3 linked regions of the Rhinolophus ferrumequinum genome follow. The protein of the gene in region 3 interacts with the protein of the main gene of each other region in a biochemical or structural test. Links are inferred from orthologs where the notes say so. Each region holds a gene or a part of one and is shown on either strand. Other genes may lie near its edges.

Evidence for each region.
Region 1: of the proteins of IRAK1 (region 3) and IRAK4, one has a biochemical effect on the other in vitro, tested with the Homo sapiens proteins (2 studies listed by BioGRID). The link is inferred for Rhinolophus ferrumequinum from reciprocal best matches to the Homo sapiens genes IRAK1 and IRAK4.
Region 2: the proteins of IRAK1 (region 3) and IRF7 form a complex in vitro, tested with the Homo sapiens proteins (2 studies listed by BioGRID, with this or other methods). The link is inferred for Rhinolophus ferrumequinum from reciprocal best matches to the Homo sapiens genes IRAK1 and IRF7.

What each region holds. Positions count from the first base shown.
Region 1 is NC_046293.1:46,386,231-46,394,242, forward strand, and holds the start of IRAK4 (interleukin-1 receptor-associated kinase 4), read left to right. Parts: upstream 1-4,993; 5' UTR 4,994-5,080; exon of another isoform or gene 5,081-5,260; intron 5,261-8,012. Other genes in the region: pseudouridylate synthase PUS7L, read right to left, coding at 206-1,118.
Region 2 is NC_046294.1:361,399-369,214, reverse strand, and holds the start of IRF7 (interferon regulatory factor 7), read left to right. Parts: upstream 1-4,797; 5' UTR 4,798-4,915; intron 4,916-5,126; 5' UTR 5,127-5,419; coding exon 5,420-5,439; intron 5,440-5,522; coding exon 5,523-5,685; intron 5,686-5,773; coding exon 5,774-5,981; intron 5,982-6,218; coding exon 6,219-6,277; intron 6,278-6,369; coding exon 6,370-6,556; intron 6,557-6,695; coding exon 6,696-6,785; intron 6,786-6,871; coding exon 6,872-7,351; intron 7,352-7,439; coding exon 7,440-7,558; intron 7,559-7,635; coding exon 7,636-7,800; 3' UTR 7,801-7,816. Other genes in the region: CDHR5 (cadherin-related family member 5), read left to right, coding at 1-60, 155-325, 948-1,038, 1,195-1,292, 1,396-1,596, 1,684-1,797, 1,874-1,958, 2,054-2,371 and 2 more.
Region 3 is NC_046284.1:6,426,742-6,434,038, reverse strand, and holds the start of IRAK1 (interleukin-1 receptor-associated kinase 1), read right to left. Parts: upstream 3,093-7,297; 5' UTR 3,045-3,092; coding exon 2,909-3,044; intron 2,826-2,908; coding exon 2,658-2,825; intron 2,561-2,657; coding exon 2,429-2,560; intron 2,311-2,428; coding exon 2,207-2,310; intron 2,024-2,206; coding exon 1,835-2,023; intron 1,599-1,834; coding exon 1,534-1,598; intron 1,348-1,533; coding exon 1,233-1,347; intron 472-1,232; coding exon 353-471; intron 1-352.

The sequences.
Region 1 (8,012 bases), on a different chromosome or scaffold from region 3:
TTTCATTAATAAGCTTAATTTTTACAATTATTGTAATTTGAAAGACTTTATTTTCCATCAAAAAACAGATCCATGTATTTTTTCCAATATCCCTCTGGACAAATCCATTCAATTCACTTGAATTATTCACCTTTCACTGATTTTTCACTGATTCACAATTTTAACTACTTTTATCAAAGAAAACGGTAATGATTTATTAAATTACCTGTGTATATAACTTTTCTTTCCTGGCATTCAAGAAGAGACCTTTTCCTGTGCTTGTGTGCTTTTTCTCGAAATCTTACTGTTATCACTATATTTGGATTACCAGCATTGCAATTAGGTTCAGGAAAAGATTTGGTTTCCACAAGATTTCCAAACTTTTTGTTAACAAAATGGTGAACAGCTTTTCTGTGGTCTTTGTCTGTATCAGGTTTAAAGGTAAATTTGGAATTTTCTTTCTTTGCATCCAAATATTTGAAAAAGTCAAGTGCTTCTTCTTCGGATACCAAGTGAAGGAGTTCTTTATATTCAAGATTTGGTTTTACAACAATTTCACTGTTTTTTCCTACAGTTATTAAAAAGGGAAACTTCTGCCTAATAGCACTATGCAAAATAGCCCTCTGGTTTTTGTCAAGGATTGTGCCCAGTAAGAATTCAGGAGATGGTCCAATTAGCTCAGTTTTAGAATCCCACTTCTCTTTTATAGCACAAGCAAACTGATTCAGTAATTCACTAGTTTTTTTATCTAACAAAGAGCCTAATACATCAACTTTTTCTTCTTCACATTTGGAAGTTCCATCATTGATTATATCTTCCTTTTCTGAACCAGTCTGATGATTTTGGTCATCATTGGAAAACCCAGCCAAAGTATTGACTTCTTGGTCGCTTCCCTCTTCCAAGGACACATTTTGAAGATCTAGTTTTGTTTTCTTTGCAAAATTATTTGGCTTGGGTAGTGCTTTACTAATCTTGTCAATAGGTTCATCAGTGGCCTTATTAACTAACTGTCCCTGTTCATCTATTTCAATAACAACAAAGTCACTTGGTGAGCTTTTTATAGTGCCATGAAATCCAACATGATCAGTAATGAAACACAAAGAACTAAATCTGATTCTAAAATCTGTATCCTCTTCCATTCTTAAATAGCAATGCCTACAAAAGAAACAGAGAGGCAGTCAGTTACTAGAAAGAAAACTTGTGGGTCACAAAAAGAAATAGGTTTGCAGGATTTATTTAATTCTCTTTCTCCCTTTCAATCCTGAGACTCCTTTAATAGACACTAATAATCTACTTCTATATATCCTGTGTATTTTGACCCTCCTATACCAAAATGAATTAACATACAAACTTTTTCTGGTATAACTGGTGAGTTGCAACTTGACTCTTCATCCACTCCAGGATTCCATCTATTGTTCAGGATTAAAATGAGTCAGTTTCAACTTCACTTTAAAAATATAATTTGTTGGCCAGCCCAGTGGCTCAGGCGATTAGAGCTCTGTGCTCCTAACTCCGAAGGCTGCCGGTTCGATTCCCACATGGGCCAGTGGGCTCTCACCCACAAGGTTGCCAGTTCAACTCCTCGAGTCCCGCAAGGGATGGTGGGCAGAGCCCCTGCAACTAAGATTGAACATGGCACCTTAAGCTGAGTTGCCTCCCGGATGGCTCAGTTGGTTGGAGCGTGTCCTCTCAACCACAAGGTTACCGGTTCAACTCCCACAAGGGATGGTGGGCTGTGCCCCCGGCGACCAGCAACGGCAACTGGACCTGGAGCTGAGCTGCGCCCTCCACAGCTAAGACTGAAAGGACAACAACTTGAAGCTGAACGGCACCCTCCACAACTAAGATTGAAAGGACAACAACTTGACTTGGAAAAAAGGCCTGGAAGTACACACTGTTCCCCAATAAAGTCCTGTTCCCTTCCCCAATAAAATCTTTAAAAAATATATGTCACTTGTAGGCCCACAAAGAACAAAGAACTGTGTACAATGTGTGCAGTGATTTTCTAAACCCTACCTCTGAAATTTCCAGCTAAATCCAGAGAACTTGTGGCTAGATTTTTATATATTAGCTGTTAGGGATGGGAGAAGGATGAGAAGACAGGAAGAAAAAGGCCAAATTGACAAATGAAGCTCTAAATACCAACTTGCCATGTGATTACTTGAACCATAAGCCTTCTTGAAAGCCCATATAAAAACTTTTACAGATACAAACTTCTGAGGTTGACTCAGAGGGAAATTCCAACCTTGTCACGGTCATCAGAGAGAAGAAACCCTTACAGATTTTCTTGAAGCAGCAGACCAGAGAATAGTTCTGTAAGGAGGCCTTCACTCACTCTTCACACAACCTATGGCTACCACACCAGATGGAGCTACAGGAAAGCTAAAATGCCCAGGGCCCCGTAATATTCCTTTGTGTCAGCCACACTCTCCAGGTAATTTAATCATCATCTGGACCTTCATTCCATGTTGACAATGTATTATACTAATCTGAAACAATTTAGCAAACTCCCCTCCTCCATCCTATTATGCCATGTAGAAATCAGAGCAAATTCTCTACATCCTTATTTCTTAGGAAATATAGAGGGATATATTTATTTTCCTTCATTCCTTAATTTCCTGTACAGTCTCCTCAGTTTCTAGCCTTCACTGAAACCTGGCTATTTCCCCCAGGCTGCTTCCTCTGTAGTCCTCTCAAGTGAAAGCCATTTTTCCTTTCACACCCACCTAACTTAGGACCTGGAAATTGTAAATATTTTGTTTGCCACTACTCCTTCCAAACCATTTCTTCCTCCTCTACCTCCCCAAACCCCAGTTCCTTTGAAGTTCATGCCATCAGACTCTGCCATCTGCTGTCATCCTCTCTCTGGTCCTGGGATGACTCTTCCTTCTTCACTGAAGACTTTATTGTTCCCTGTCTTCTTAACCATCATGACTTGCAGGACCATCCATATGGATCATCCATTTAACATCACAGTGTCTCAGTTCCTCAATCTGAATCTCAACCCACTTCCACTTCATCTTGGTCATAGCCTTGACTTTCTGATCACCAAAAATTGCATCAACTTTAAGCATCTGGCTCTCTGATTACTCCTGCTGTCCTTTCATCACCTCCACTTTGTACTTCATTCCATAAATTCTTATACATTGTAAAGGCCTCTAATCTCTGCTTCTACTACTGGTCCACGTAACACCCAGAATGATTTAAAAGGTAAATTAATCCATATCACAACCTGATTTAAAACCCTCAAACCACATTTATAATGAAATTCAAATTTCCCTGACTTCCAAAGATTTCTAAGATTCTGGACTTTGTCTAGTCTACAAATTTATTTTGTAACCTTTCCCCATTTCCAACTATACTCCAGATACACTGGACTTCATTTCCTTTGTACCAACTGTTGCTGCTGATGAAATTGGTCCTTCCCAAATCACATCCTACGAGGTCTTCCCTGACCAATGTCTAAAGGAACCGGCAAGTCACTCTCTTTCACAAAACTTTAGCTTTTTGCATAGTATTTCTATCTAATAATTTTCATTATTTATTGTATATCTCCCTCAACTAGATTGTTAGCTCCATCCAAGCAAGAACTTGTCTGCCTTATTCACTGATTATCTCACATTTAGAACACTGTCACGCACATAGTAGGCATGCAATCATTACTGATAGTTGAATAAATTAAATTATAAAATAAGAGGGTAAGAGTGAAAAGGAAGAAAGGTCGCTTTTGCCTATGATAATTGGTAAAGTCATAATGCAAGACGTGGCCATCTAAGTCCTCAAAACTGTCTAAGCAATAGAAATGAGGCAGAGGCATATCATAAGTAATGTAAAAACAAAATATGCAATGTGGTAGAGAAAACTGAACAGTCCAGATACAGAGCTGTAGGAGAAAAAGTTTTCTGGACAGTTCTGGAAAATACAGTTGGATCAGTGCCAAACTATCTAAGACACTGAATGCCCTGTCAAGGGCTTAGAATCCAGAGCGGTCAATGGATGGCCGCCGGAGGTGTTTGGGTAGGAAAACTACACAATCTAAAATGATGTTTTGGTAAGACGCCTGATGGAACCGTACAGGATGAATCAGAAGCAGTGTTAGGGAAGCAATGTAATCAAGACTATTGTTGTAGGATCGGCCTTGGGAATAATAATAACAAATTCTTACCCCAGTAAAAGGAAGATATGAAGACATTCTAAGCTAATACAATGGGTAGAACAAGTAACTCGGGGAGAATGTGTAACAACGAGGGAATTACAACCAAGCATCTTAGGAAAAGAGCGGAACCCAGCGGGAGGGAGCCCAGGAGCCCACGTGGAGTTCAGCATAACTGTGCGGTGTTCCTCCGCAACCGATTGGTCGATGAGGGTGCCAGGTGGAGAGGGGTAAGGTAGTCTGACCCAAGGTTAGTGAATTCCCGGTTGAGGACAGACAGATACAAGGAAGATATTAGAAATGGAGAAGACAGCGCCTTTTCCCTTACGCTCTTACTTCACTAATCGCCGAAGCTCCGCCGAACTCACTCCTACGTACTTCCCGCTCCGTCCCCCACCCGCAGAATTTAAATCTCCGGCGTGGTGGCCTTTGGCGCGTCCACAAGTACCCTCAGACACCGCCACCAGCTCCCCGTGCTTCTCCTCCCTCCCCCACACCCGCCAGTCCCAAGGCGCAATCCTCGTCCACCTCACCCTCCGCTCGGGGGCAAAGGCTTGGGGTCCCAACGCCAATCATGTCATCGCCCCATACAGAAGCCCACATGACGCTAGATGCTCCACCGGGTCTACCTCACCTCCAGGTGAAGGCATGCCCCTGCACAACCTTGTGCGCATGCCCGGAAGACAATATATTTCGCCTCCGACGGAGGCGTTTTTAAAGGGACAGGCTCCTACTTACAGAAGCGACTAGGACTTTCCCACTTGGTGACGCCGCCCGCAGGGGCCAAGAGGCAGGGAAGGGCGGGGCCTGGCGTGTGGAGCCCTTCCCGTCACGCCCCGCCCCGCCCCACCGCGCCCCGCCCCGCGCCCCGCCCCGCGCCCCGATTCCTCACCGGCGGGCACTACCGGGCGGGGTGCAGTCCGCCTCCTGTGCCCCGCGTCTGGGCAGGTAAGGATTTCCGACTGTGCGCGCATCCTTCACCGCAGGTGGTCCGAAGTCCGCGCCCCGGCCTCAGTCTCCCTGCCCCAGGGTTGTTCAGGGACCGTTTCGGAAGGAAGTTAGCCTCTTATCTTCCAAATGAGAAAAGTTCGGGAGGAACTAGGTGGCGTGGACCGAGCTTGATCCAGGGTAAAGACTTGGTTGGGTCCCTGGGGATCAAAAAGTTACTCGGACCTGAAGAGGAATCTGGGGCGTGGAGAAGCGTCACCCAGACATTCTGTGGCTCAGTCGTTCCTCTCTCCGAGTCTCAACTCCTATGAGTTGTGTTCCGTCTGAGTGCGGGTTTACAAAATGAAATCTTTTTTTCCTGAGAACCAGGAAGTAAGTCCAGCACCCAGCAGAGATGCTTGTTGCTTGGAAGGCATGCTGAGCCTGCACAAGATTCTAAGATTCTAATTAGTTTGTTTCTCTGGCTTCCAAGCTTCCAGGAAATTAGAAAGTGGAGAGGAGTTGTAAGGTTCAGATAAGTGCATTATCAGATAGGAAAAGTGTACTTGACAGCCTAGAAGCAAGAGAGAAAACAGAAATAAAAAGCAGACCTTGAGAAATTGAGGAAGCGTTGTGGCCATTTAGAATGGGAACAAATGGCTCTTATTAGTGCCTCAAAAACGCATCTGCCCCCAAGGAACCCTAAGAACAGAGAACATTTAACTCTGCCTTGCCCTTTCTTTCTGGAGTAAGCCTTGAAGGATCTGTCAGAAAGTTCAGAGTTGTTTTATTCTCCTGTTTGCAAGCTAAACATTCCTTTGAAGTGTACTTTCTAACCTGTCCAAACTGAGCTCATGATCTTCCAGTCCAAACGTGTGCCTTCCACAGTCTATTCTATCTCAGTAAATGTCAGGAAACTTGTTTAGGCCAAAAACCTTGATGCTATCTTCTCACCTTTCATATCAGCAAATAGGATTCTCATTGCTGTACCTCAGAAAATATTGAGCATCCTAGGTCTTCCTACCTTCTCTGCTACCTCTGTGGTCCAAGCTGCCAGTACCTCCCACCTGGACTACTGGATTACTCTACTAAACTGGTTTCTTCCTTCTTCTCTGCCCTTATTCCAGGAGCCTTTATTCTCAGCAGCAGCCCCAGTGTCCTTTTAAGAACCAGTTTAGAGCCTGTCTCTCCTTTTCTTAAAGCCTCCACTGTCTTCTCATCTTGCTCAAGGATCAACAAAGTCAATACAAAGTATACGGCTCTAAGAGACCTAGCTCTGTTACCTCTCTCATCTAATCTGCTACTTTCCTACTCCCTCTCCAGTCTCACTATCTCCTGGCTTTTTCTCAATGACCCATTTCAGGCCCTTGGAATGTTTTCCTACAGATACCCAGTGGCTGACTTCCTCATTGATTCAGACCTTTAATCACCTTCTTTGTTTCCCTCACTCTTCTTTCTCTGTAGTATCTGATCTTTCATGAAGTTAAGATCAGATGCAGTCTCCTAAATGTTTGACTGTTTTCTTCTGCATTCCCTGACCATATACTTTTTTCAGGTTTACATTTCTGCTAGATTATTGCAAAGTTTTCAAACTGGTCTCCCTGCGTAAATATACATCCCTTCAATTTTTTATCCAGAGGAATCCACTTAGCCAAATAACACCTTTCCTTAAAGTCCTGTAACTTTTAGTATAAAGTTTAAACTCCTTGTCATAGCATATGCGGTACATGATGATTTGGCCCTGTCTACTTCTCGAGCGTCACCTCTTATTACTTAATGACATGCATCCTGTGGTCCAGCCATAGCAAACCCTTTGCCTGAGCCTAACCTATGCTCCCCTGTGCTGTTCCTGCTGCCTGGAGTTTCCTTGAGTTTATCCTCATTCCTTTTCATTCATCTTTCCAACCTCCCAACCCACCCAAATCTGTCTTAATATACTTCCTTCGGACGGGCTTGGCTTGATGTCCCTTCTCTGGGCCCCAAAACATACCTCTTGCAACATTTATAACTCACTGTAATTGTTTTATCCCCTGCTAGACTGAACAGCTTGAAAACAAAAGATTTTCTCTTCTCTGTAGCTCCTGTTACTTATTGCAAAGCCTGACATGTATGTTTTTTTGAATGTAGGGATGTATATTTACGCAGGAAGACCAATTTGAAAACTTTGCAATAATCTAGCAGAAATGTAAACCTGAAAAAAGTATATGGTCAGGGAATGCAGAAGAAAACATTCAAACATTTAGGAGACTGCATCTGATCTTAAATTCATGAAAGATCAGATACTACAGAGAAAGAAGAGTGAGGGAAACAAAGAAGGTGATTAAAGGTCTGAATCAATGAGAAAGTCAGCCACTGGGATATCTGTAGGAAAATGTTCCAAGGGCCTGAAATGGGTCATTGAGAAAAAGCCAGAAAGGAAATGACTGGTCTTTCTAGAAAAGAGAGTGAAATGAACAACGCATTGAGTTATAGAAGCAGGGACATAAGGCATGAATTTTGAAGTCAGATATGGGTTCAAGTCCTAGCTCTTTTACTTACTACCTTTGTGAAATAGAGATGATAAAACTGCATTAGTCACCTTGAGGATTAAGTGAAGTGTATAAATCACCTTGCATGGTACTGGGCAGGAACATGTAACAACACCATTATCTACAATGTGCTAGTTACTAGTTATATATTAGTAAATAAAATGATCATAGTCCCTGAACTCGTGGAACTCTTAGTCTGATGGGGGTGACAGTAAACAACTGGACAAATAAATTTATGGTTACAAATAAATTGTGCAGTAATGAAAGATATTTAGGTTGAGGGCAGATAGACCTACGTAGATGTAATGGTCAAAGAAGGTCAAAGAGAAGAAAATGCTAATACAGAGGTCCAGGATACAGAGAGACTTTTTGCTTCTTACTCTTTTATAACTTCTGGATTTTGTACCACATGAATATATTCTCTA
Region 2 (7,816 bases), on a different chromosome or scaffold from region 3:
CTGGATCGGCCACTGGACTTCGACAAATGGCCGCACATGACCTTCCAGCTGCTGGTGCGGGTAAGCAGGCCACCTCCACTCTGAGTCCCGGACCCCCACCCACGCTACCCCAGCCCTGGCTCCCGGGCTGATTGGCAGGGCTTGGCTATTGCAGGACACCCGGGAGGAGAACGAGGTGCCCAGCCACACGGACAACGCCACTTTGGTCCTGGAGGTGCAGCCGGCCGACCTGCGGCCTCCCTGGTTCCTGCCCTGCATCTACTCTGACAATTATGTCTGCGTCCACGCCGAGTATCGTGGGGCTATCCCCACAGGCCACAAACTGGTACTGGGGATAGGGAGGGCAGGGCCACGTCCCGAGCTGGGTCAGGGTCAGGGTCAGGGTCTGTCGGCACCGGGGGTGGGGCCTGGGTGCCATGCAGCCAGTTCTGTTGTGATTTTCAAACAAATGTGTGAACATTCCCTTGTGCTCCAACCTTGCTCCATCACTGTGGTGGTGAGTGGCCAGCAAACTCCTCTGAGATTAGGATAAGGGGGACGGCCCAGCTGTCCTGGGGGCACAGCCAGGGACCCAGTGAGGGGCTGGGACGCTGGGGGGCCACGCAGCACTCAGCAGGGGCAGCTGCACCTCTGACCGTCCTGCTCGTGCCACGAGGGGCACACTTAGGCACTGGGGGGCAGGGTCCAGCTCTCCACGCAAGCAACCACGTCCCCACGTCCCCTGCACCTGCCAGCTCCTGAGACACACACTGTTCAGATCAACCGAATGTTTGGGCAAAATGACTCATTGACAGCGGGTCCAAAGGGGTGTGATGTGTAATCGTGCCTGCGACTGGACTGTCCGGCAGGCCCCCGTGGGGGTGCAGGCCTCCTGCAGGGGAGTTGGCGGGGTCGAGCTGGGGCACTCACACCAGTCCCACAACGTCCCCACCCTCTGGGTCCCGCAGCTGGGCCCCCTCATCCTGCAGCCTGGGCCCGTCTACGCTGTGGACGGGGATCGGGGCATCAACCAGCGCATCATCTACAGCTTCCTGGCGGGTGAGTGGGCCCCCCCCCCCCCCCCCCCCGGCTTCTGTCTCCAAACAACCGGGCCCACCCGCATCCCCACCCAGCGGGACATGCCGTGTGGCAAAGCCAGTTGGGACCTCAGGCCTTCGAAGGGGACAGGACTAAACCCGCCCACCTCCCTCTCAGGACACGAAGAAGGCAATTTCGTCATCAACGCTGACTCCGGCAACCTCACCATGACCAGAAGCGTCCCCAGTCCCAAGACCTTCGTTTTTCTAGTCAAAGTGGGTCTCCTGGCCAGGCCTCCACAGACCATTCCTGAACCCCAGGCCGCAGGGCTCACCCTTCAAGGACCCTCTGGTCACTGCAGCTTCCCCCTACCCCCAGGGCGAGCAGGCAGACCACGCCAGATACTCGGTGACGAAGGTCACGGTGGAGGCCCGAAATGCCTCAGGGAGCCTCCCCCGTTTCCCATTGAGCCTGTACCGAGGCACAGTGGCTCTGGGCTCAGGCGTGGGCGTGGCTGTCAAGGACGCAGCTGTCCCCTCCCAGCTTCTGAGGATCCGAGCCCAGGACCCCGAGTTCCCGGTAGGCCCTGCCTAGGTCTACCTGGCCTCTCCTCTGGGGTGGGTTCGGGGGTTCTGGGGGCCTGGCGCTCACCAGGACTGTGTCCAGGACCTCAACTCAGCGATCACATATAAAATCACCAACAACTCCAACTTCCGAATGAATGGGGAGGCTGTGCTGACGGCCGCCCCGCTGGCGCTGGCGGGGGTCTTCTACGCGGAGGTGAGGAGCGGGTAGCATCTCTAAGGGCAGGGGTTAAGGGGGGAACTAGGAGGGACAAGCCCCCTTCCTGCCCCAGGTTCAGGCCAACAACACGGTGACATCAGGCACAGCGTCCACCGTCGTGGAGATTCAAGTGTTGGAGCAGGAGACCACCCCCACAGGTGAGCCTGGGGGCCCAGGTGACCCTTAGGGAGGGCTTCTTGTCACAGGCATGCTGGCAACAGAGGCAAGCCCAAACTGTGTCCCTGGCCCCTAGGCCCCCCTGTCCCCCCCACAGCCCCAGAGGCTGGAGGAACAACCCGGCCCTCAAGCAGCACCACTTCGGAAGCCCCCAGCCCCCCAGGGCCTACTCAGGGATCCTCCACGACCAGCTCTGAGGGGGGCACTGGTCCGCGCCCCACCCCAGGCACAACTCTGAGGCCACCTGCCTCGTCCACGCCTGGGGGGACCCCCGGTGCTGGGACCAGCACCTCTCCCCCATCAGCCTCACCCAGCGGGGGCTCAACACAGACCCCGAAGCCAGGAACCTCTCGGCCGACGTCCCTTGCATCTAGCAGGACCCCCCAGCTCCCAGGTAGCACCCCCAGATGTCCCAGAGTCATGCTCGCGCTCCCTGACTAGACAGTCCTAGGAGTCACTGTAGGGCAGGTGGCCATGCTGACTGTAAAATCCCAACGGGGCTGGTGGCTCTGGTCTGGGTGGAGACAGACAGGTCCTGGGGGCCCCAGAAGGTAAACTGGGGAAAGTGCAGATTTGGGATCACTGAACCCCACAACTCCCAGGCCGTCCACTCCAGTGCTCCCAGCATTGCCCTCGCCTCCCTCTGGGTGGAACCGCCGCCTCCCACCTGGAGCTGCTGGCACAGACCCCTCTGGCCCTCCCTCCCTTCAGCAGCCTGGCTTGTTCTGTGTCCCTAAGCCTGGCGCAGGTTGGCACGGACTGTGCTTGGGTGCTGCGCTGACAGTGGCTGGTCCTGTTGCCTGCAGGTTCGCCGGGGACAGGAGGCGTCACTGGGGGGATTGACCAGCCAGGTGGCAGCCATGCTGAGGACCAGCGCTTCTCACAAGCAGAGATGGGGGCCCTGGGAGGGGTTCTGGGCGGGCTGTTGCTCCTGGCTTTGCTGGCCCTGCTCATCCTCATCCACAAGCACTATGGCCCCCAGCTGCCCTGCTGCTCTGGCAAAGCTCTGGTGAGGCCTGGGGAGGTGGGGGGGGGCAGGACAGGAGAGACAGAAACCAGAGGCAGGGATGTGAGAGTGAGGGCAGCATCGGGAAGTGGGAGGTGGAGAATCGGCAGGATGGAGACCAGGAATCGGCCGGAAAGCTGGAGAGCAAAAGTGAGGAGGTGTAGACACCACAGGCCAAAGAGAAGCAGAGAAAAGGGGAGGAGCTAGCGTGGATCCCAGTCCCTGGGGAGGGAGGGAAACGATAGATCTGAGCCCAGGCGGGGGTCCCGGTTGACACCCTGACTCCCCGGCCCACTCCCCAGGAGCCCAGCGGCTTTGACAACAAGGCCTTCGTCCCCGACAACGAGGCCAACTGGGCGCCAGCCCCCAGCCCCGCCCCCGACTGCACCCTGCCCGCGGACCCGCCGGCGTCCCCGCTTCCCGCGCCTCCCACGCCCCCCAGCCCCCCGCGCCCCGGCCGCGTCCCCGAGTCCCCCGCGGCAGCCCGGGATGGAGGCGGGCCCGAAGGCGTGAGGTCCATCCTGACGAAGGAGCGGCGGCCTGAGGGCGGCTACAAGGCTGTGTGGTTCGGCGAGGACATCGGGGCCGAGGCCGACGTGGTGGTCCTCAACACGCCCGCCTCGGACGCGGACGGCGCCGGCGACTCCGGCAGCGAGGGCAGCGGCGACGAGGACGCCGATGCGGACCTGGGCGGGGGTCCCCACGACGACGCGCCCAGCGCCGACTCTACCTTCATGTAGTGCCCCCCCCCCGCCATTGTGTAGAATAAAGTGACATTTCCGAATCGCGGGCGAGGCGTCGCTGGCGCGGGTGATGGGGCGCGGAGAGGGCGGGCGGGGCGGGCCCCCTGCCCTGAAGCGCGCGGGCACCGCTTCCCGTAAACCACCTGCTCCGCCGCCAGCCGCGGGGCTTCCCGGGCTCCGTGCCAGGTGGCGGCGGGAGTTCCTCTCGGAGTAACCGCCGCCGGAGGAGGGCGCCCTGCACTGGGGAGACCTCCCTCCCGACCCAACCCGGAGATTCTCGGCCTGGGGGCGGCTCAGGAGCCGCCCTGAAGAGCAGTCGGAGAGCAGGGTCCCAGGACCTTCCGGGGGGCACAAGGTGTGGGGCCCGCGGGAGCAGTAAGCACTCAGGCGCCCAGACAGCGGCCTGTGGTGCGAGTGGAGCGCGGCCCAGTGTGACAGGAGTCGGGAGCAGTGGCCAGGCCATGGGCTAGCGGCGGCGGGTGGGACCGGTTAGTGCACCACCAGAAGCTGGGGGGAAACCAGGGCCACACAGTGGGGGACAGCCCCCTCCACTGGACTTCCGTCCTCACCTCCACCGCACTGTCCCTTGTGGGTGGGTCATCGTTTTTCCTAATGAAATAGCAGCACTAATTCCTTTCCGAATGTTTTCATGGCGAGGGTGTTGGAGTATCTTGCTAAGAACCCCGGCCGTACGCTGCCGCTGGTCGCACGCCCTTCTCTATTACCCGCTTTCTCCCGCAAGAAGAGGTGCCTGGTTTTCTTTGGAGTCCGCGGAATCCTCAGCTTATCCCATTTCCCCCACTCCCACCCCTGGCCCCGGGTGTGCAGGGGGTGCTCCCGGAAGGAGAGGAGCGACCGGACGCCGCAGGAGCTGAGGCTGGCAGGCAAGCGAGACCGGCCCCTCCTGCCGCCCCTCCGCGACCGCCCTCCCCGCACTGTCCATAGCCGGGGTCTGAGCCTCCACCAAGGGCCTGCACCCGGGCTCGGGGAACACACCGCGCGCACCCCCTCCTACAGGGAAACCTCCGCCGCAGCGCAGGACGTCCTCGGCTGCACCTGAGGCCAGAGGCCCGGCCCCGCCCCGGCCCCACGGCTACCGCCCCGCCCCCTGTTGCCTGCCCGTATAAAAGCGCTGGTTCCCTGCCTCCCGGGGAGAAGGAACTTCCTGCCCCGGCGGCTCCGGCTCCAGGTACTATTCGGGACCCCAACCCCCCGGAGTCACATGGTGCATCTCCGGGTTCGAGGTGGAGGCGAGGGTGGCTGAGGACCAGCGGGGGTGCTTTTGGGACGGGGAGGCGCCCGCCTCGCAGCGGGGGGTTAGGTTTCGTTTTCCGGCGACGCGCAGTTTTGCTTTCCCGACGCCCAGGCCCTGCAGCGGCTGTTCCCATCTGTCTCCGCAGGTCCAGCCTGCCCGTCCCGCAGGCCTGGACGCTGGCTCAACACCTGTGACTTCACGTGTGCGCGCTGCCACATCTCTTGTCACACCCATCGCCACCTTTGCCAAGAAACCCACACCTGGGCAACGTCGTGGCCATAAACCTTCAACCCACATCTGTGACCCCAACAACTGTAACAACTGGGCCACACTTGTGACATCGGGCCATACTACCTGTGGCGACACATAAGCAGTTCTTCCCTCACCTGTGGGAACACCTGACTGCCACTCGTGATCACATCCCCTCGCAGTGGGATCATGGCTGCGGCCCCAGACAGGTGAGAGCCTGGCCCACCTCCCCGGAGCCCAACCACCGCACCCGACCGCCGGCTCCCTGACCTGCTGTCTGCTCCGCCCACAGGGGTGCCCCGCGCGTACGGTTCGCAGACTGGCTTTTGGGCGAGGTAAGCAGCGGCCGCTACGAGGGCCTGCGGTGGCTGGACGCGGCTCGCACGCGCTTCCGCGTACCCTGGAAACATTTTTCGCGGAAGGATCTGGGAGAGGCCGATTCGCGCATATTCAAGGTGGGCCCCCGGCTCCGACCCGGGTGGGAGGGTCAGCCCAGGGGCAGGCCCGCGCTCCCAGGCCCACGCCCTCCTTCTCGGTCCCCAGGCCTGGGCCGTGGCCCGCGGCAGGTGGCCGCTCAGCAGCGTCGCAGGCGACCCTCCGACCACCGAAGGCGCGCTCAGGGCCGGCTGGAAAACCAACTTCCGGTGCGCGCTGCACAGCACACAGCGCTTCGTGATGCTGCAAGACAATTCGGCGGACCAGGTCGACCCGCATAAGGTCTACGCGCTCACCTCGGAGATGGGCTGGAGAGGTGAGCACCCGGGACGCCGCGCTCAGGGAGGCAGGATGTGCGGGGCAGAAGAATGTGCTGCAAAGGGCGCTAGCACTTTGCTCTGTCGAGGGGCAGCCCCTGGGTCAGATCTGGGCAAGGCGGTTGGTGCCAGGTTGTTAGGGCGAGCTGGTGGGGTCTCTGGGGACCAGCGAAGGGAGTATGTGCCAGCAGAGCGTCTCAGGTCCCATTGCTCCCCCCACCCCAATTCTCACTCAGAAGGTCCAGGCATTAACCAGGACGAGGACCAGGCCCTTGAAGATGCCCAATACATGAGGGTAAGGCGGCTCTGCCCTCCTCGCACCTGGGTGGGGGCTGTCACCTCTCACTGGCTGGGGGCTCCTTATGCTGGCACTGTCTTCCCCTGTAGGGTGAGCTCCCCGGGCCATGCCTGGTAGATGTTGAGAGGCCGAACCCTGCGCCCTGTGCCCCAAACCCTCTTCCCAGCCCAGCTGGCTCCGCCGGGGACCTCCTGCTTCAGGCTCTGCAGCAGAGCTCTCTGGAGGACTACCTGCTGGAAGGTGTGGAGGCGGATCCAAGCCCCACAGAAGCTCCTGGTAAGGGGCTGTTGGCTGGGGTGCCCTGGGAGGGGAAGGCAGGCCAGCAGTCCCTGGGGGTGGGGGGGATGTCTAGCAGGGATGGTGTTGGCCACAGCTGAGCCAGTACAGCTGTTCCCACTGTGGTCGTCCTCCACAGATCCAGAGCTCCCTAGGGGGGAGCTGGACCTGCCATGGGCAGTGGAAATGGCCCCCAGCCCCAGGTCACAGCCCCAGGCCCAAATGACAGGTGAGAGGAGCCAGGGGATGTGTGGAGGAGGGAGGGGCTGGGGGACCAGGTGCCAGCTCAGGCCTTTCCCCCCCCACCGGACGCAGGCCCAGCCCAGGAGCCCTGGCAGCCCCAAGAGGCGGAGCCCTGCACCCAGTTGTCAGTGTCCAGCTGCCCACAGCTCGGTCTCCATGCAGAGCCCAGCCTGGGGGCCCTGGATGTGACCATCATGTACAAGGGCCGAACAGTGCTGCAGGAGGTGGTTGGGCGCCCAAGCTGCGTGCTCCTGTATGGGGCCCCTCGCCTAGCCATTGAGGACACAGAGCCCCAGCTCGTGGCCTTCCCCAGCCCCGCCGAGCTGCCAGACCAGAAGCAACTCCACTACACAGAGAAGCTGCTACAGCACGTGGCCCCCGGCCTGCAGCTCGAGCTCCGGGGCCTGAGGCTGTGGGCCCGGCGCCAGGGCAAGTGTAAGGTCTACTGGGAGGTGGGCGGCCCCCTGGGCTGCGACAGCCCCTCCACCCCAGCCCGCCTGCTGCAAAGGAACTGCTACACGCTCATCTTTGACTTTCGCAGCTTTTTCCGAGGTCAGTGGTGCCCCTGGCATGACACCCGGTCCCTCCCCACCCCTACCCACACTGCTCCTCCTCCGCTCACCAGAGCCCCATCCTGCAGAGCTGGTGGAATTCCGGGCTCGCCAGCGCCAGGGCTCCCCACACTATACCATCTACCTGGGCTTTGGGCAGGACCTGTCAGCCGGGAGACCCAAGGAGAGGAGCCTAGTCCTGGTGAAGGTGAGGGCAGGGTCCCACGTGGGGGAGGCGGCGGCTGCTGCACAGCCTGGCCCGGCCTGATTGCGCCCTCCCCGCAGCTGGAGCCATGGCTGTGCCGGGCACACGTGGAGGGTGTACAGCGGGAAGGCGTGTCCTCTCTGGACAACAGCAGCCTGAGCCTCTGCCTGTCCAGCACCAACAGCCTGTACGATGACCTGGAGCGCTTCCTGGACTTCCTCATGGAGGTGGAGCAGCCCGCCTAGGGCTGCCGGGGCTGCC
Region 3 (7,297 bases):
GATCATTCCAGCTTCCTTAGAGTCTCCAAGCAAGCAGAGCCCAGTGCACCCTTGCACAGCTCGGCCCCACGAGTGGGGCATCCTTGGACTCCGCTTCCACACCTGTCCCACCCATGCCAGTTACTCGTTACCCAGGGCCCCTAGCTCTGACGTCCCGTCCCAGGGCTGCACCATCCCCACCTCTGCCTCGAGCAGGAGAGGGCAGACCTATTTTCATGGGGGCACTCAGGGCAGGGTTCCTGGGGACCAGACGCTCTGCTGGTGGAAGGTTTGGGGGCATCATGGGCTTGCCATGGACTCCGCCCCTGCAGCTCTCAGGGGACCCAGGGGACTAGCTGTTTCCCCTCCTCACCTCTTGACGTCTCCGTGGATGAGGCTGGGACTGTCCTGATGTAAAAACTGAATCGCCCGGGCGGTGCCCAGAAGGATGTCCAGGCGCTGAGGCCAGGAGAGTGGGGAGCAGGCCCGGGCCTGGAGCAGCAGAGGGAGCAAAGGGGCACAGGGGGTGCTGGGCGCCACCATTCCTTGACCCCAACCCTCCCTCCACCTGTCACCACGGGGTCTGGACAAGCACTTCACTCTCTGGGACTGTTTCTCCTTCTGAAAAATGAGGAGCAAAATCTCCATGAGTTATATTACAAGAGGAGCGAGATTAAGCTATTCCCACTGCTTTGTAAAGCATGCTGGGAAAATGGCTGAGAATGTGCTTTCCAGAGTCATCACAGAATTCCGCGGTCCTCAGTTCCTGAAGTTCATTCATTTGTCCCAGGGCGATCAGGATGTCACTGGAGGCTTTCTCTCCACTTCTCCCAACACAGTGTGCAGTTCGCCCTTGAGTCTTGTGGGTGTCTCGCTAGACAGGGCCCAACTGTGGGTCCAGACAGTGCAGCCTGCTGCCACTGCCCCATTTCCCCAAGAGCAATACTGACAAGACCCTTCAGCTACTCTGCTTGCAAAGGGAAGAAGCCCGAGTCAGGTTACTCGGAGTCAATAACCCCATTTTCAGAGGTACCATGGTCCCAGGCTCCTGGGCACGCAGAACAGCCAGGAAGAGGCCATGGGAAAGAGTTCTGGGGCAAACGACATCGCACCTTGGGCCAAACCCTGAGCCTAGGCCCTGCCTGCCGGTGAGACCCACTCACGGAGGCTGAGAGCTCAGGCGCTAGGCCCCATGCCCCACACCACTCAGACGCTGTGGGTCTGGGGAAACGTGCCGGGCCAGGTAAGACTACCTGGAAATGGAGGCGGTCTTCCAGGGAGCCATTGGGCAGGAAGCCATAGACGAGGCAGTAGTAGCCACTTTGAGCACAGTAGCCAGCAAAGTCCACGATGTTTGGGTGACGAAACCTGCTTGGAAAATTGGGGCCTGAGTGCTCTGCCACCCAGTCTCCACCGCGCTTTCCATATGGCTGTGTCAGTCGGGGGTGGGCAGTCCCTGCTGGTTTCTCAGCTAGGCTGGGCATGGCAAGCTTCGGGGGCCTGAGGGAGCCAGATCCCGTGGTGCATGGTCCTAGAGGGACATCCCAGGCTCACCGTGACAGCTGCTCCACTTCTGTCAGGAAGCTCTGCTTCACAGTGGTCCACTCCAGGTCTGCCTCCTGGAGCCCCCAGGGAAAACGGGGGAAGAGGGGCAGCATGAGGCTCTTGCAGCCAAGGTTCGATGGCCACTCCCAGTGCCATCTGTCCTGGGCCCAGAACAACCAAGGGGCTGGGGGGGGGCTTGAGCTGGGGAATCAGAGGGCTGAAGGAGCTGTGTGGGAAGCAGGGGGTTGGACCAGAAAAGTGAGGGTCTGCTGCTGGCCCTCCAGGGCCCTCGCTGGGATGCTAAACCCACCTCCTTCAGCTTCTTCACTGCATACACTGTGTTCCTCAGCACAGCCCGGTACACACACCCAAAGCCACCCTCTCCGATCTTCAGCTCCTCTGAGAAGTTGTGGGTGCCCTGGGAAATCTCATGGAGGGGCCAGCAGAATGGAGAGGGGTGGGTACCTTGCAGGAGGGACACTGGGTTCCCTGCGCTCTGCTGTGGGAAGAGACCCCAATCAGGTAAGGTCCTGTCTCCTCCCCTCTGCCCTGGCCACAAGCTACCTCCATCCCAGTTGCCTCCCAGCTGGCCCTGCTGGGCTGGCTGGGGATCCCTGGTGTACCAAAGACTGGGTTTCTTGTTACTTGTTTGGAACCTTTCCTGGGGACAGGACCCACCTACCTTGGTAGAAGAGGATAGAGGTGGTGGTGGTGGTGGCCGGAGGGCAGCAGGGCTTGGGACACGGCCGATCTCAGGCCCAGAATGAGCCTGGAAGCCTGGAAAAGCTTCGTAAAGACACCAGTGAGAGGCAGGCAGAGACCAGGGGCAGGATCTACAGCCATGGCCATGGTCAAGGTGGCCCTTTTCTCAGGTCCATCAAGCCCAACACTAGGGCTGTCTTACCTGGGGAGAGGAGAGTGGAGGCTGACGACTGCAACTTCCCGGGGCTGGGGGCCTCTGCTTCAGAGGGTGCAGAGAGGCTGCTGGGTCTCGGGGAGGTGGTGCTGGAGGGTGGGAGGGGGGCGGGAGGGTGCCCTGGGACGTCAAAGACAGAAAGGATGGTTAGGCCCAGGCAGGGGGAGGGGCCCCGTGAGAGGCCTCCGGTCCTGGGGTCCCGGAGCCGCGCACTCACAAGCCGTGATGATGTCCCGCGCGCGGAGCAACTGCAGGTGCGTGAGGATGCGCACGAGGTCGGCCACGCGGGCGTTGCGGTTGATCCAGGGCCACAGGACGCTGGCCGTGCGCTGCCCGGAGCGTTCGCACAGCCGCAGCTCGGTCTGGTCGCGAACAATCAGGGCGGCTGCGGGGTGGGGTGCGTCAGGCTTGGGCGCTGGGTCCCGCGCGCCCCCCGCCCCGCAGGTCCGCCGGCCCGACGCCACCCACCAAACTGGCACCAGTCGCTGGGCTCCAGGGCGTCCATCACTTTGTAGAAGCGGCACATGACCCAGGGCGGCACCTCGTACAAGAAGTGCTGTGCGCCCGGGGCCGCGGCTTCCTCCGGGCCCGGCCCCCCGGCCATGGCCGCCGCCGCTGCCGCCGCCGCCGGGCCGGGGCCTCTCGGGGCCTTCCGGGGCCACGGCGGGCGCGGGCCTCGGCCGGCCGGGTCCGCAAACACTGACTCACTTCCCCTTTAAGCCGTCCTCGTGCGACGCCCGCCGGGGCGGAAGGGGCGGTACCCGAGACTCCGCCATCTTGCCCGCTGCCGCGGCCGCCGCGGCCACCGCGGCCCTCGGCCACACGGGGGCGCCACAAGCGGTCCCTTCCCGCGGAGGCAGCGCCACTGCGCGGGGCCAGGCGGGCAGGGCGGGCTTCCAGGAGGAGGGGTCGTCTGAGTGGGGCTCTGACGGATGGAGGAGAGCCGTTCTCAGCAAAGAGGACGGAGGCCATGAGGACGTCAGCCGCTGGGACGTCCCCTTAAGACGTGTCGACTTTATTTGGAGACAATGGAGAGCCGTCAGAGATGCTGGAGGGACAGGGTCAGATGGGGGTTCCACAAAGGCCCCACTCCCACCCCCTGCTCACTCCCGTCAGCTGGCCCGTGAGGTCGGGTGCAGGGAGAACGGTTTGGAAGCTCGTACCCGCAGGCTGCCCCGGCTCAGAGCATTTCCGCCCACCTCCTGTGCCCTGGATCCCGTCTTTTCCCTCCTGCAGGCACCTGCATCAGCAATTGTTACCTCGTAGCAATATCTGCCACTCTTCCTTCTTTGCTGGCTCCTTCCCACTAGCACATGAACCGTGCTTGTCTCTCTTAAAAACAAGGTTTCAGCTCCTCTTGTCCCTCTTCCCTCTCGTGATCACGTTTCTGGCTCAGTCTGCGCTCCCCCTGCGAGGGCGGCAGTCAGGCCTCTCTCTCCCACTCTCTTTTCTGAGGCAGTGGCCAGGCACCAAGCTCAGTTTGGCGTCTGGGTCATATTTGTCTCTCTTGCCCATTCCCATAGTGCTCTGCAGCCTCCATGGCTCCACTCCGCATCAGCAGCCACTATGTTCCTGTCTTCTCCCCAAACATGTCCGGAGTCCATCTCCTCCCCATGGGCCCACTGCCTTCACTACTACCTCTTACCTGGATGAATTTGCCGGCTCCCTCATGGCTTCCGCGCCTCATGTCTGCCTGGGTGCTCCTCCTCTGGCACAAATCAAGCCACAGGGCTTTCCTGCCAAAAGACTCCTGTGCTTCCCGGAGCCTTCTGATGGGTCGCAGCTCTGGACTGCAGCCTCCATGGCCGTCACCACATGGCCCCTGCACACCCACCTCATGTCTAGCTCTGCACACACCAGCAGCCGTAAGCCATCCAGAACTCCTTATGATTCCGAGAAAGCGCCAGGCCTTCTGTGTCCACGAGTTAGCACGTGCAGTTTCCTGGCCGTCATGTGACAAGGTTGAGCTCAAACAGCTCTCCAGGTGGAAGCTAGGGTGCAAGCTCCCTAGGGCCCTGTGGCAGAGCTGTCTGCAGCCCCCGCTGTGCCTGGCATCTCTGGTGTGCCCTTCTTGAGCCTCCCCCAGTAGATGGGGAAGACCCAGCCAACAGTACCAGGTGCCTTCTTCTTTTGTTTCTCCAGCTAGAGGCATGCTTGTTGCAAGGTAACAGTTCTTCCCTGACCGTCCATCCCCCTTGTCCTCTCGATTCTGACCCCAGAGGGCTCCCCACCCCAGGTTGTCCTCCCAGGGACTCGGGGATGTTTGCAAAAACCCGCGCCCAATATGGGCGTCCATTGGAACCTCTTCCCAGAAGTGTCAGCCACTCCCACAGAGGGGGCCACCCATACCCTGAGGATGGGAATTACCATGCGGATACACACACACTGAGCTCTAAGGGAACAGACGCTTGGCCCTACTTGCTCACTGCTGGACTGCAGCTCCCTGGACAGGCCTGGCACACACAAGATGCTCAGTGCACACAGGTTGAATTTCAACCCTTTGTTTTAACGTTTAAGGCCAAGGCTTTCGAGTGCACCTTCTAATAGGTGCGTCCACCTTTGCGCGTGAAGCTGGACACGGAGCAGTTGTCCCCTCCAGCCCAGCAAGGGCCTGGTGAGGATGACCGTGCGGGGCAGACAGCTCCAGAGAGGCCAGAGCCTTACGGGGAAGCCAAGGGGCACAGGCAGGGTGTGACACCTGCAAACCCCAGTGATGACAGCGCCCCCCTTGGGCAGGGAGCCAGTTCAGCAGAGGCTATGGGAGGGTCTCAGGTGGTAGGCACAGGAGGAGCCTGAGCTGGGAGTGGGCTGTTTTTCCAAAAGCACCTGGGCACATCCCGACCAAAGAGGCACCCCTACCGTGGCCCTCAGGAACAGGGAGGTTGTGCCACTGTTCTGCAGCCCGCCTGCCTCTTGACCTAGGGCACGGCGGGCAGATTTGTGCCAGGCCCTTCCCAGCCTGCCACCCAGAGCTTCCCCACACATGCAGGAGCAGTGTGCCTGGCAAGGGCGGCCTTGGAACGCCCAAGGGGAGGTGGTGTATGGAGCAGGCTGCCCTCTCCTCTCAGGGCGGTCCTGAAAGTGGCTGGCTCTCCTCTGTTCAGGGACAGCCAGACCGAATCAGGAAACACACCACCATGCTGTCCTGTGAGCTGTCTGATAATGAAAGCCCAGACCTTGAGTCACTTTCACAGAGAGATTTATCGAGAATGCTAACAGCACAGGATACAGTACTTCCCAACAAAAGGTGCAAACGCGTCACTTAGAAAGGCATGCTGAGTAGTCTTTGCTTTCACACGTATTAAAAAACTTACAAAAATAAAATAAAACTGCGTGCTGCCCATCTTTTCAAATAGTAAAAGAACCTTATGAAAAAATCACTTGATTTTACAACAAAAGACACAAACGGACATTTTTATGTAAATTTATAAGGCAAACTCTTTATATAATAAATAGGTTACAGGGATTCAGTGGGGGGTGTTTTTGAAACGTATACAGGTACATTCAGACAGGTTTACTGAAATGGTACAAATTTCCTTAATAAATTGCCTTTTGTTTTTAAATATATCAGTGCTTTCAGTCATTTGGCTATACACAAAGAACCTTTTTTTGAACACTACAAAAAAGCAATCAATATTTTTTGTTTTTTAAAACGACCTACTTATTTCCTAAAGTAATTGTCCCAAAACACAAAAACTGAAGGTGAATGTGATAGAGGGCTTTTTGAGACATCTCCAGCCAAGTCTGTCCTGGGCGGCTCCCCGCGCCTCACACATACCTCTCCCACCCTCAGCCGGGCTTCCCTCTGCACAGGGTGGCTGGCCTGTGTCACTGAGACTTGGGGGGGGGGCAGCCACCCTGCCTGGTTCTACCCGCTACCAAACCCCACGTGCAAATGGTCACTACAGTGAGTACTACCCTCACCTTCGGGAGGAGGTGCCGCCTGGCGCGAAGTGAGCACATCTCTGTCCGTTCCGTGAACCCAAACCGTCTGGTGGGGGGAACAGCTTCTCTGAGAAGGGTCTGGCTTTGCCATGGAAAGGGAAGGGGGGTTCTCACGTCCAAATTTTGCTGGGAATTGGATGACAGCTAAGAGAGCGCACCCTCCGCATCTCATCACACGAGATGGTGGGGACTAAGATAAGAGGTCACGTTAGTGTGGGGCGCTGCGGGACGGGGTGGGATGTGATGGAAGTGTCCTACTAAACGGTAATGCCCGCTACCTGGCCTGTCCAGAAAGAGCTGCGTCAGGCGAAGAGTGGCCAGTCTGCCCCGTCAGCATATACCTGACCTGTGGCCACAGCAGAGGAGGTCTCCAGGGAGGTGCCCACCCTTCGTCTGAGCCATGGCCGTTCAGGCCCACCCCAGCCTCCTACCAAGGCCAGGCCGGCCCTGCTCACACCCTCCTGACTCCCCTCGCAGGAACATGAACCTGTCTGTTCTTAAAAATAACAATGATGCCAATAATCTTGGGGGGGGGAAGGCAAAAGAATCCACCGGGTGGAACAAGACCTGGTTTTGCTCTGACTTTGAAAATGGCAACACATCAGCTATTCGGTCCGCTGGCATAGGCTTAACTCCTTTGGGTGGCTTCTGGCTGATCTGAGCGGGGGCCATCTCTCTGGATCTCCCCTCCTGGGAGGGGACATAGGACAGCCCCTCTCATCTTGGTCACCATCCCCACCCTCCGAATTCTTTTGTTTGTAAAGAAAAGGTGTCTAGAAGCATTTGTCTCTGGAACAATTACTTTAAACATGGTTACAATACAGACTTCAGTTCAAACACAGAAGAGATTTACTTAGCAAAGTTCCTTTCACCCACCAAAAATTACACAAATATAAGCCTCAACACCACAGT